2 linked regions of the Neodiprion lecontei genome follow. The protein of the gene in region 1 interacts with the protein of each later gene in a biochemical or structural test. Links are inferred from orthologs where the notes say so. Each region holds a gene or a part of one and is shown on either strand. Other genes may lie near its edges.

Region 1 (5,104 bases):
AGATCTACCTTCCCGACCAGGTAAGCGCTGCACAGCGAACCGTAGGAAAAAAAAGTTCATATCGCTCAAGCTTCACAACGATCTTATTTTATTCGCAGTTGGAGGAGGGAGAAATTGACGTAAGACTGAATTCCTTCAAGGGTTGCTTCATGCAGCGAAGTGGTCGACCCCGGAAATAACTTATGCATTATACGGCATAATTTTTCATCCGTCATCACGTATATGTATTCGAGATTCGATCACGCCAGGTAGTGTATCTATTAGTAATTGAATTCTTTTTAACGTTCGATAAATTTTTCTAATTATATCACGAATTTAAACTAGTATTTAGATTATACATACATACATGTATAAGTATATGTATATATAATTAATGGTAAACTGAAGTGAAATACTCGTGGCTTTAATATACTTATCTACACCGTCGCCTACGCTAGGTACGCGTTTGTGTGTATCCATAGTAAGAAAAAAAAATATAAATTTTGCGGTACTGAGCGCGATACTTTCTATATACAATTTTTAAATGCAGACGTGTAACGCACGTAAATATTGTAATCGCCTTTTAAAGTTTTACGTATATTTATTACGAAAGAATTGACACTATCTAGGTACTATTATAATAACTATGCTAATGCTATTTTCAATAATAAAAAATCATTTATATCCTGCAGTTACAAATGAAAGATCATATGATGTCATTATTAACTATCAAAAATGAACTCGGTTGATCGAGCTCAATTATCTAATTAATTTAATGCCACTCGTTTAGGTCTAACGAATTGTTTCCACATTTAAATCTCGCGCCTAATTTTGAATTTCATCACGGATGGCGTCACCGGTTGACTCTACCACCCCGCCATCTTCGCCTACTTGTTTAAACTATAATTTGTTTATTCTTCACTCAAAACTGATTGGCATTTTTTTCGCAGTTCGATAATCATACGGTTTGTTACGCAACAAAGAGACTCTAGAAAGCAGCCAAAAGGTTCTCAATCATGGACTAAACATATCAAGCTCATTGTGATAATTTTATAATGAAGGCCACGTTGAAACTACGACGAAAATTGGAATTCGTCGGTATGAATAAAGTCGAATTTTTTCGAATAACAGTCGGAAACAGGGACAGGTACAAAACAGATATTGCCCGTTGCATTTGACGGTTTCCTGCGAAGAAAATAGGAATTGGATTTCTTGAGAACAATACGGAATCACGTTGAAGTATCGATTGGAATGGAGCAAAGAACGAATACCGGAAATCAAAGGCCGCCCATCGCACGCAGGTAACAATTATTATCACTAGACAAAACAATGCGCAGCATTGAAACTAGTAGTCGATGATTGATTGCGTGATACAGGCGCAAGTATTGCTGTAATATTTCGCGTAGTAACTCCCTTGGTTCCTATTCTCACCGAAAGATTATATTCCAAAGTCCGCGGGCCTACATTGTTGCGCGGCAGAATTGATTCGTGTATCTTGTAACGTATGTCAAGCGGCGTTGCCAACCCATCAAACGAATATATCTATTTAGATGGCACCACAATAATTCGTTCAGGTAATTTAATGGCGCCATAATAAGTCGTGATATTTCTCATTTTCAAGAGTGATGTTTAACGGTATTGAAACATATTCAGAGATTTTTTTATCAGTATTGAAATTTCGTCAAAGATGTTCAGATTTTATTCACATTCCGGCCTCAACGGCAATATTTCTTAACGCGAAAACAACTTTTCTCTTTTCTTTGAACGGACTCAAATTTCTTTAGAAATCCTACTGAAATTTTTCTACGGTTGGCAAGGCCGATGAGATGCGGTATCTCGACAAGAATATTGGTACGCCTGACATCAATGTCGGCGAATTAATTAAGGCGAGAAAGAAGATCCCCTATGCATTAGCTGCTCATTGTCAGAGGTTGATTCAACCAGTCTCAGTAACGGCGGCAAACTCGGTCGGTAAGAAGGGGCCGCGGTTGGTCGAGGGCAGATTTTCCGTGGATGGCGCTGCGGTCGCAATTAGTTTCACAGCGGTCGTCGCAGTTCGACGGCGCTGCTACGGGAGCCAGATCTCAATGGTCGGTTGGTCGTGGTCATCAGCTGTGAAACGTAACAACAACGGAACGCGACGAGGAACGCACGAACGAACGGACGGACGGAGGTGCGTACATACGTACGACGTTTTACGGTACGATAGTGCGTTAGATTGACGCGTAAATGGCGGTGCTACCAGAATGAGGTACTTCGTCCTCGTGCCGCGTAGTAAAGTTGTAATGGGTCTCGTCGCCGAGGGATCGTGCCCTTCGACCCGGTGTTACCGCAACAAATGACACGAGTCATAGTTCAGAGGTTACTAAATCCTCGGTGTGAAACGACGACAACAACAGCGACACCAACAACAGTAACAACGAGAAGGAGGAAGGAACTCTGACTCTTACGCGCGTACAAGGTTGTGCATAGAGGTACGGGATCGCAGCACTGCATACGCACACACACGCACACACACACACACACACACACACACACGCATCCGCGAGCTAATGGTGCGGAAATAGTGTTGCCCGTGTGCTCGAGAACGATATTAAAGCGCGAAAAATAGCCCCGTTGCAACAACAATAATAATCATAATAACGATCAGCGCAACAACGGTGCGTAAACACGAGTGGAAGTCGGGTGAAGAGCGCGTTCGGGGCGACAATCGTGGAAAAAAGATCTCGAGGCCGGGGGGGGGCTCGAAAAGGGATTATAATTCTTCTGGACGATAATATTCACTCCCGAATTTTTGAAGATCAAAAAGAAGAGTTTTCTAATCCCTGATAATTTACACGCGAGTCGACGCGCCACCCGTATTGCATTGCCCGTGGTGGTCAGATTCGAGGCTTGAGAAACCGTAGACTTGGCAATGCTTGTAAAATTCACGTTGCTACCAGCAGGACGGTTCGCGTAAAATATTTATATCACCGTTTTTCCATACTCTCTTTCTCCTTCGCCTCGATTAGAAAGACCGTGAGCGCGAATATTATTCGTTGCTCTGCAAGTACTGTAACGCGTTGTCGAGTATGTCTCTATGTTGGTGAAAACCGAGAAGCATTTCGCTCGCGTTTCTGAACCTAGATTCGCCACGTTGCCCCGAACGATTGAGATTGGGAAAGTAAGTCGCTAAAGTTTACTCCCTGACCTGGCGGTAGGTGTTGAAATCCCGGTTCGTCGGGCGAAGGACGGGCGGGGATTTAATTCTCCGCATTGGACGGACGGCCCCGCCGTTTACGTTACACTTACATGCAAATAATAACTACGTCGTTTACAACCTCCGGGTCCCGCGTATGATCCTCTTTGCATCGCGGAAAGAAGGGATAAGCAAATAAGGGAACCTTATTGGTGTTTTACAAACGCTATCTATCCGTCGCGATTTGCCGACGGCGGAAAACTCGGTTTTATTCCACACGCGGACCAAAGGTATTATTTTTCAAGTTTTCTACCCCCCGCCGTTGAGGGGAAAGAGAGAAGGAAGTTTTTTTTTTTATACAAAGTATGCAAGGACGCACAGTTTTTTTAAAAGCTATGTATACTTGCAATTTCGTACGAAAAACTGCGAAATCCTGTGCCGTCGGTAAGGAGGACTTCTACTATTTTGTTTCCCTCTTAAAGTACGTATATTGCGATAGGTCTTTGATTCGCGCGGAGCTTTTTCGTCGACTCTCGCCCCCTTATGCGCGTTATTTTTGGACCGACGGTGGTCGTAACGACGTTTTCACTACTTTACCACACTCTCTTTAACGGCCGTTAAAGGTACGAGGAAGCTAACGCGAAACCGCGTTAAATTTAAGTTTACACACACGTGTCGTGTATTTATAGTCTTGTTTTATGTATGCAAGAGTACAAATTTGTCGTCGTGCGTTCCGCGGCGGGGTGGAAAATTGTTGAAATACAGGGTGTCGGAAGGGGGGGGGGGGGGGGGGGGATTGATGGGTGATAAAATAACGCACGATATGCGTGCCGCGAAAAATCTTGCGCGTCTATCAGGTTTTTTTTAAATAAAAAATAAATTATTCTCCTTCGTTCAAACAGGTTCAAAAGTTCCATTTAGATATAAATAATACGCCTGTTACAGCTTTAGCTCGAAATATTAATATCATTCAAGAGGTTTCGCATCGAACTTTTCTAGTTTCCATAACAATGAATACGGAAAAAAATATTTGCTCTTTCTGATTTTTATAACTAGATAAAAATGCGTCGTACAAAAAATTCGCAGACGTATTTTGGTGGGGAATTGAACGATCTTCAAAAAAGGTCTCTTATTATTTTCTGATAAATTCACTCGTTCAAAAGTTATTAGAGGATGTTGATAAAAAAATCTTACTTGAAAGAGTAGATTTATCGTAAAACGATAAGAGAGACTTTCTTTGAAGAACGTTCAACTCTGTACAAAAGTGTGTCTGTGAATTTTTTCGTTAGGACCGATCGTTAGCTAGTTATAAAAATTACAAAGCGCGAAAACCATTTTTTCCATATTATTTTCGTGGGAAATAGAAAAGTCCGATGTGTAACCACCGGCGCTGCTCTCTCGTGTTATTATGTTTCAGAAATGATAATATGACTTTGTAGATCGTTCGTTCCTTTTCAGACTCTTGAACGGCGAAAGAACTCGCTGTTTGCCTTGTAAAAATTGTTATCTTGTCTTTCTCTCTCTCTCTCTCTCTTTCTTTCTCTTTTCCTCTCTTTTTATTTCTCTTCCGTTATTCACTCTTCTTTGTTATCGTCTTGCTGGCTAATTCACTTGAAAATATAATTCATGCAGACTCTTTTTTTTTCAAAAATGTAATTGTTGTTGTTCGCAAATTTAATGTTACAACGAAGCATTTTTAGGTTACGTTGTTACTTCGAATTTTTTAATACAGCAATTATACGACTCGCGTATTTTGCCAATCCAATTCCGTAAAAATCCAATTGCCGTGTTCGGGCTAGCAAATCGTTTTCACTTTGAGATTTTTTTTAACGGGATTGAAGTCAGTAACTTTATCGTAACGAAACATTGCGGAAGAAAATCACTATTAATATTTATTACGGCTTACCGAATTTCAAACAATTCCATCAAAATTGCAAAGTAACAATT
Region 2 (5,735 bases), on another chromosome or scaffold:
TTTATCAATGTCAAATGAGAAATAAAACGAAAAGGTGAAAAAAAAAACTAAATTTAAAAGTGATGAAATCTTATTACTATATGTGATGCTTTATCGATTTAAATCGCGGGAAAGTGACCTTTATTCAGACAAAATTGACGTAGGGCGGTTTTGGCTAGAAAATGTGTGAATTTTATTTAATGTTTTGTAAAAAAGATCTCAGAGACCAGTAATGAATAATTACCTCATCAAACAACGCTACGAGCTCAATAATTTATGGATTAAAATCAATTTATATATTGAAAATTTAATTATTTCACTTATTCACCTATTTTTCTTTCAACATTCAGACTAAACTTCCTGTGTTCTGTTTTACTCAAAGAGACTGGTGATTTTAGTTGAAAATTATCCTCATCATCAATTATATTATTTATATGTTATATAATAATTGAATTTTGAACACAACATTGACATCCCAATTCCGATTTTATTGCTATAATCCGAAATGATGAATATTAGCATAATTCTATTGCAGGTGAATATTTTTGTGATCTCAAGTTATACGTTAATATACGAATTACCATTCAATCAAACTTTATCTTACTTGTATGATATTTCAATATATCTGTATTGATATATTATTTGAACACATTAATGAATAGTTTGTTATTTTATTTTTGGTGTTTCCTCAATGCTGGCTTCTGAATCCATTAAAGTAGCACCGTATGAAAAAAAATCTATATACATGTATATAGGTATATATATATATAGTTTATATATATATATATATATATATACATGATAATATTGTACATACAAGTAGTGTGTTGAATGTATTTAAATTAAAGAATACAATAAATACACAATTAGCGTTAGAAGTTAGCAGGAATTTAGGTTGTGCTTACCAGAGAACACAGCAAAATGTTTTTCTTGAAATCAAGCGATTTCTCTTTTCATAAAAAGCTAACGAATTCATTTAAAAAAATCATTACCATATTTGTTAAACATGTAGAGTTGGATCACTATTGCTAATTGTCGTGGGTAAAGCAATAGCCGGCAAGCTCATTGACCAAAGTCATATTGACTAAGTAGAGAAGATATCAGAATTTTTAAATTCATTACTATTTGAGTGTATTACGCAACATTCGCCTGTGGAGGCAATTATAATTCCATCACATGAAAACACAATATCCCCACACGCAATACATATGTCACACAAGTTTACACCAAATTAAAAAAATTACTGTAAGAATAATATATAAATCGAATTTGAATTGAATAAAACTAAACGTGCTAGTTGCACAGCGAAACGAGAATGATAGCTGTGTTACTAAAAAAAAAAAAAAAAAAAAAGTTATAATTATATTATCATATATTTGTTTTATGTGTATTAAAGCGAATGTAAATATATATATTAGATACATCACATAATAAATAATAATTTAACGTAATGCTGTTTTTAATCTTTTGTACATAATCCTTAGTTACCCAACGCAGGTAATACTTTTTTTAATTTCGAAATGTATGAATCTTGAAATTGTTAAAAAAAATGTATCTTATAAAATTGTACCAAATTGATGTCCCTCGAAAATACCGTTCACGATTCGATTGATCCGGTGACGTCGATTTTATTACATATACTCCGTTTGAAATTATTTAAAAAATATTCATTTATCCATGATACGATCTGTTAGTTATTTCTCAAATTGTAGTGCAAACTTGGAAGCATTTTTAGATATATTACAAAATTTTTACCTTTTCTACGCTACGGAAAATTTATATCGCAAGGTTGCGAACCGAGTCCACGTTTGAATCTTGTACATCCTGCACTAGACAGGTCACAGGGTGGACGAAAATTTGTTTTGTCCTTTTCGTCTGCTACTCGAGCACGTGGTTATGTTTGACAGTTCGTATAGTGAACAGTTGAACACACTGTGGCGCATATTGCGTTTTCGCGTTTATTCCCGATGAAAGCTGTTTCGTCAAGATGGCGCGTCGAAACGGTAACAAGAAGTGGTCAGCAGCGTTATGAGTATTAAAAAGCTAAGTTACCGTGTTTTTCGAAAAGATATCACGTCAGATTGTTAAAAAATATTGTAAATTTATTAAGTACCACATGATTTACGCCGACTTCTATCAACGTTCGACAAATTTTCAATCTGAGGTTATCGCGCCCAACATATAGCCGACTTTGCTTCATCGTTGAGTTAAGTGCGTATATGCAATACTTATCTTATCAACACGATGGCCGATCTACCGTACAAAGACGGATACGAACCCCGTAAGTATTCGTACTTGATAGTTCTCCTTGTCTTTTTGTTGTGTATGTTCTCTTCTTTTTCTATTGCAGTAATCCTAATAATCAACACTCGTGTCAAGGCTATTGACTACAGATTAGGTATCTTATTGACGTATCATAACGGGGCAAACCTATTTAGAGACAGGGATAAACTCAGTTTATTCATTTCCACGGTCACGTGTACGCATACTAATCTCAAAATTTGGTAATTTGGTTATTTTCCAGTTTTCCTTTGACTGTTTTTCGATTTTCTGTTTCACAAATATATCATAGAACACACGTACACGATTCTCTTATATGATCCAGTGATTACTGTTAACATAGTTTTGTTTCTTCTGATATTCTAAATCTCGTGAATCTTTGTTGCTGTAGAAGGAATGGCGATGCACAGCGGAGCAGGATCGGATGGAGATATGAAATTGGAGCCGTCTAGTCCTACCGAAAGATATACCTTTTCCCGATGCAGTAGCACTGGTTCCATCAATACTCCTTCGTCATCTGCACATAACACTGGTAAAAGAACATATTAAATTATACTTCTGTAATTTTATTTAAGACCAATTACTCCTCCAGGGTAATATGTTTGTTGAATCACTATATGAAACTTTTCAAACATACATACCGGTGAGTTTCACTGTAGGATCTATTTTATTGTTTTTCAGAAGATGAAGACAGTGACAATAAAAATTCTACAATCAGTTACAAAGAGCGTCGCAGAGAAGCTCATACTCAGGCAGAACAGAAACGAAGAGATGCCATAAAAAAGGGTTACGACTCTCTTCAAGACTTAGTTCCCACCTGTCAGCACACAGATTCATCTGGCTACAAATTGTCTAAGGCGACAGTTCTTCAAAAATCAATTGACTATATACAGTTTCTCTTGCAACAAAAGAAGAAACAGGAGGAGGAACGTAATGCTCTCCGAAAAGAGGTCGTAGCTCTAAGGATAATGCAAGCCAATTACGAACAGATCGTCAAGGCTCACCAGACCCAGCCTGGTCATGCTGAGGCACGCGTATCGGACGAAGCTAAATTCCAAGTGGTAATTATGTCTGGTTTTAATTGGTACATTTCTATAGTCTGATGCAAATACGGCGTAAATAATTCTAACAATTCACACTTAAGTGGAGTATTAGTAGTATTTGGCCAGGGCAAGTAACTATTGAAAGTCATTTTTAGATTTAAGTTGAAAAATAATAATTTTCGATAAATAGCGGGCAATCTTTGAGCTCATCTCACATTATAATTTGTATAGTTTCAGGCAATTATGGACCGCTTGTTTCAAACTTTTAGCAACGTTTCAGTAGCTAATTTTGCCGAATTATCAGCCTGTGTATTCAGCTGGTTGGAGGAACATTGTAAACCGCAGGTAAGATCTACATGTGTGCTCTGATATTGAAACTGAGAAAATGAAGCAGAGGGTAACAATCGAGTATTCATACACTTTGTCATTGCGTTGAGAACTAGAACGCGTAATCCACCCTATCACAGCAACGCTAGATTCACATTAATACCTAAGTAATCTCGATTTTATGACGCAGAGTCATTTTTATTGTGCACGGCTTAATTTTTGAATAACCCAGAATAAGATCGAGAATTGTGCATAATATGAATAACGAAATAAGTAATTAATTAAGTAATATTTTTTTACAGACGCTTAGGGAAGTTGTGATATCCGTTTTACAGCAGTTCAACAACCCTATCAGCTAGTCAATGGTATAAAATAACTTTAGATTATGTTTATGCTTCCAATTGTTGATCAACGATCTTGAAGTACTATTGCAATTCAGAAAACAAGCCATTCCAATGAACTTCTGTGATTGCCAATGGAAGCCTATTGAAAATTACCTCTCAGTTACCAGAGAACATATAAATATAAATATATATACAGTTGTACCGTTCACTTGTTCGCTCTCGAGCAATGGAACAAACTTTGTGATTCTAGCTCGTGTGATAAGTACCTAATATAATTGATCACCATTGGATATCAGATTGTGAATAACTCCATAAACAACCTGCAATTACTATGCATATACATTGCTGTATTATATTGTCTTTTACTATATTGTACATAAAATGATATACATATATATTTTGCTTCAACGACGCGACTTAATTGATAATTTGACGTTTTTATTATTCGAAAAGAATTTACGTTGCTAAATATCAAGTTGGAAATCTGTTTGCTGTAAAAATCAGTATAAAAATTCGAATTTCTTGAGGATGATATTACGATTTTACTATTCTTATGGGAAAAAGTTTTGTGTATGCCACAGGTGTACAGGAGCATTATCTCTATTTGAATTTATGAATAAGTTTGCGCGCGCAAAGAAAAATCTGCGCGCATCGTTGATGTCGATCAACATTAAAATCCGTAAACAAAGTTCACGCCGAAAGTAGAAAATAGAGATGCATAGTCATCCAAAGAACGCAATTATTTTGTTTTTATTGTAAAGCAATTGCAAAGAATTTTAGTTGCCAATTAATAATAATTTAAATGTACAGTGATTTCAGGGCAGCGCATTTTACAGCGTTGTACGTTCATAGATAATTTTACACATTTTCAGAGGTTTTTCTTTTATTATTACAAACTATAAACCGTTATGTATGTACCCACGTTGTATACATGTTTATCTACATGGAATAGCTGTGCTATTCTTGGTTTCAATCAACAATAAAAATATTTACATTGAAATATAATGCTTCTGACGTTTATTACTCTCGGGTTATACGCAGATTTTTATTACAGAAACAGTCGATTTTACCCATCACGATATAACGTGTAAGTGGCCGTTTTCACCTCGAGTATCGCTCAAACGACATGATTAATTGATGCCCCATATACATTTGAGCCCCTACACTACCACCTTGTTACCATTCGCTACTGGTTCAAGTGTTGTGAGTTATGATTTTGCCATGAATGAATCATGAAACGCGTCACTCGCGATGTTTAGGTATTCCGCCCACGGCTGACCAAAACACCGTTTCTGCCACTGCGTTTCTGTTCTCATATCAAAGCCGCAAATGCATGTAGTTGTAATGAGGAATAAGTAATAACGACTTCAGTCGCCTTTCCCATAATCCAGTCACTGTGAAAAGTAAGATTTCATTATTTTGTTGACAGCAACTCAAGCATGTACTTTTAATTACACTAATTACACTTCTGAGTGCGAAATAATGGTTTTCTTAGATTTTTAACCGATTCGAATATTTATTTTATACAATTAAAAATTCAACTAATTTACAACGGGCCTTCTTTTTCTCACTTATATTTCTTTCGAGCTGAACAAAGACTGTGACGAATAACTAATAGTTGTCACATTCACACGTAAAAAAAATTGACTTTCATCCAACAAGGTTACATTTTTTTTTCGTCTACAGCTAGACACTGCACGCAACATGAATTTACAGTGCTCATCTTTTCGCATAACCGCGTAAATTCACCGATGATTACTTG

What was found.
Region 2: the proteins of MLX-interacting protein (region 1) and max-like protein X form a complex in vitro, tested with the Homo sapiens proteins (2 studies listed by BioGRID, with this or other methods). The link is inferred for Neodiprion lecontei from reciprocal best matches to the Homo sapiens genes MLXIP and MLX.

What each region holds. Positions count from the first base shown.
Region 1 is NC_060264.1:2,225,766-2,230,869, reverse strand, and holds the start of MLX-interacting protein, read left to right. Parts: upstream 1-2,028; 5' UTR 2,029-2,152; exon of another isoform or gene 2,153-2,453; intron 2,454-5,104. Other genes in the region: uncharacterized protein LOC107228024, read left to right, coding at 1-20, 99-179. UniProt on the Homo sapiens protein: Binds DNA as a heterodimer with MLX and activates transcription. Binds to the canonical E box sequence 5'-CACGTG-3'. Plays a role in transcriptional activation of glycolytic target genes. Involved in glucose-responsive gene regulation.
Region 2 is NC_060262.1:29,695,663-29,701,397, reverse strand, and holds max-like protein X, read left to right. Parts: upstream 1-1,949; 5' UTR 1,950-2,223; coding exon 2,224-2,260; intron 2,261-2,358; exon of another isoform or gene 2,359-2,483; intron 2,484-2,650; coding exon 2,651-2,791; intron 2,792-2,940; coding exon 2,941-3,320; intron 3,321-3,533; coding exon 3,534-3,647; intron 3,648-3,931; coding exon 3,932-3,988; 3' UTR 3,989-4,973; downstream 4,974-5,735. UniProt on the Homo sapiens protein: Transcription regulator. Forms a sequence-specific DNA-binding protein complex with MAD1, MAD4, MNT, WBSCR14 and MLXIP which recognizes the core sequence 5'-CACGTG-3'. The TCFL4-MAD1, TCFL4-MAD4, TCFL4-WBSCR14 complexes are transcriptional repressors.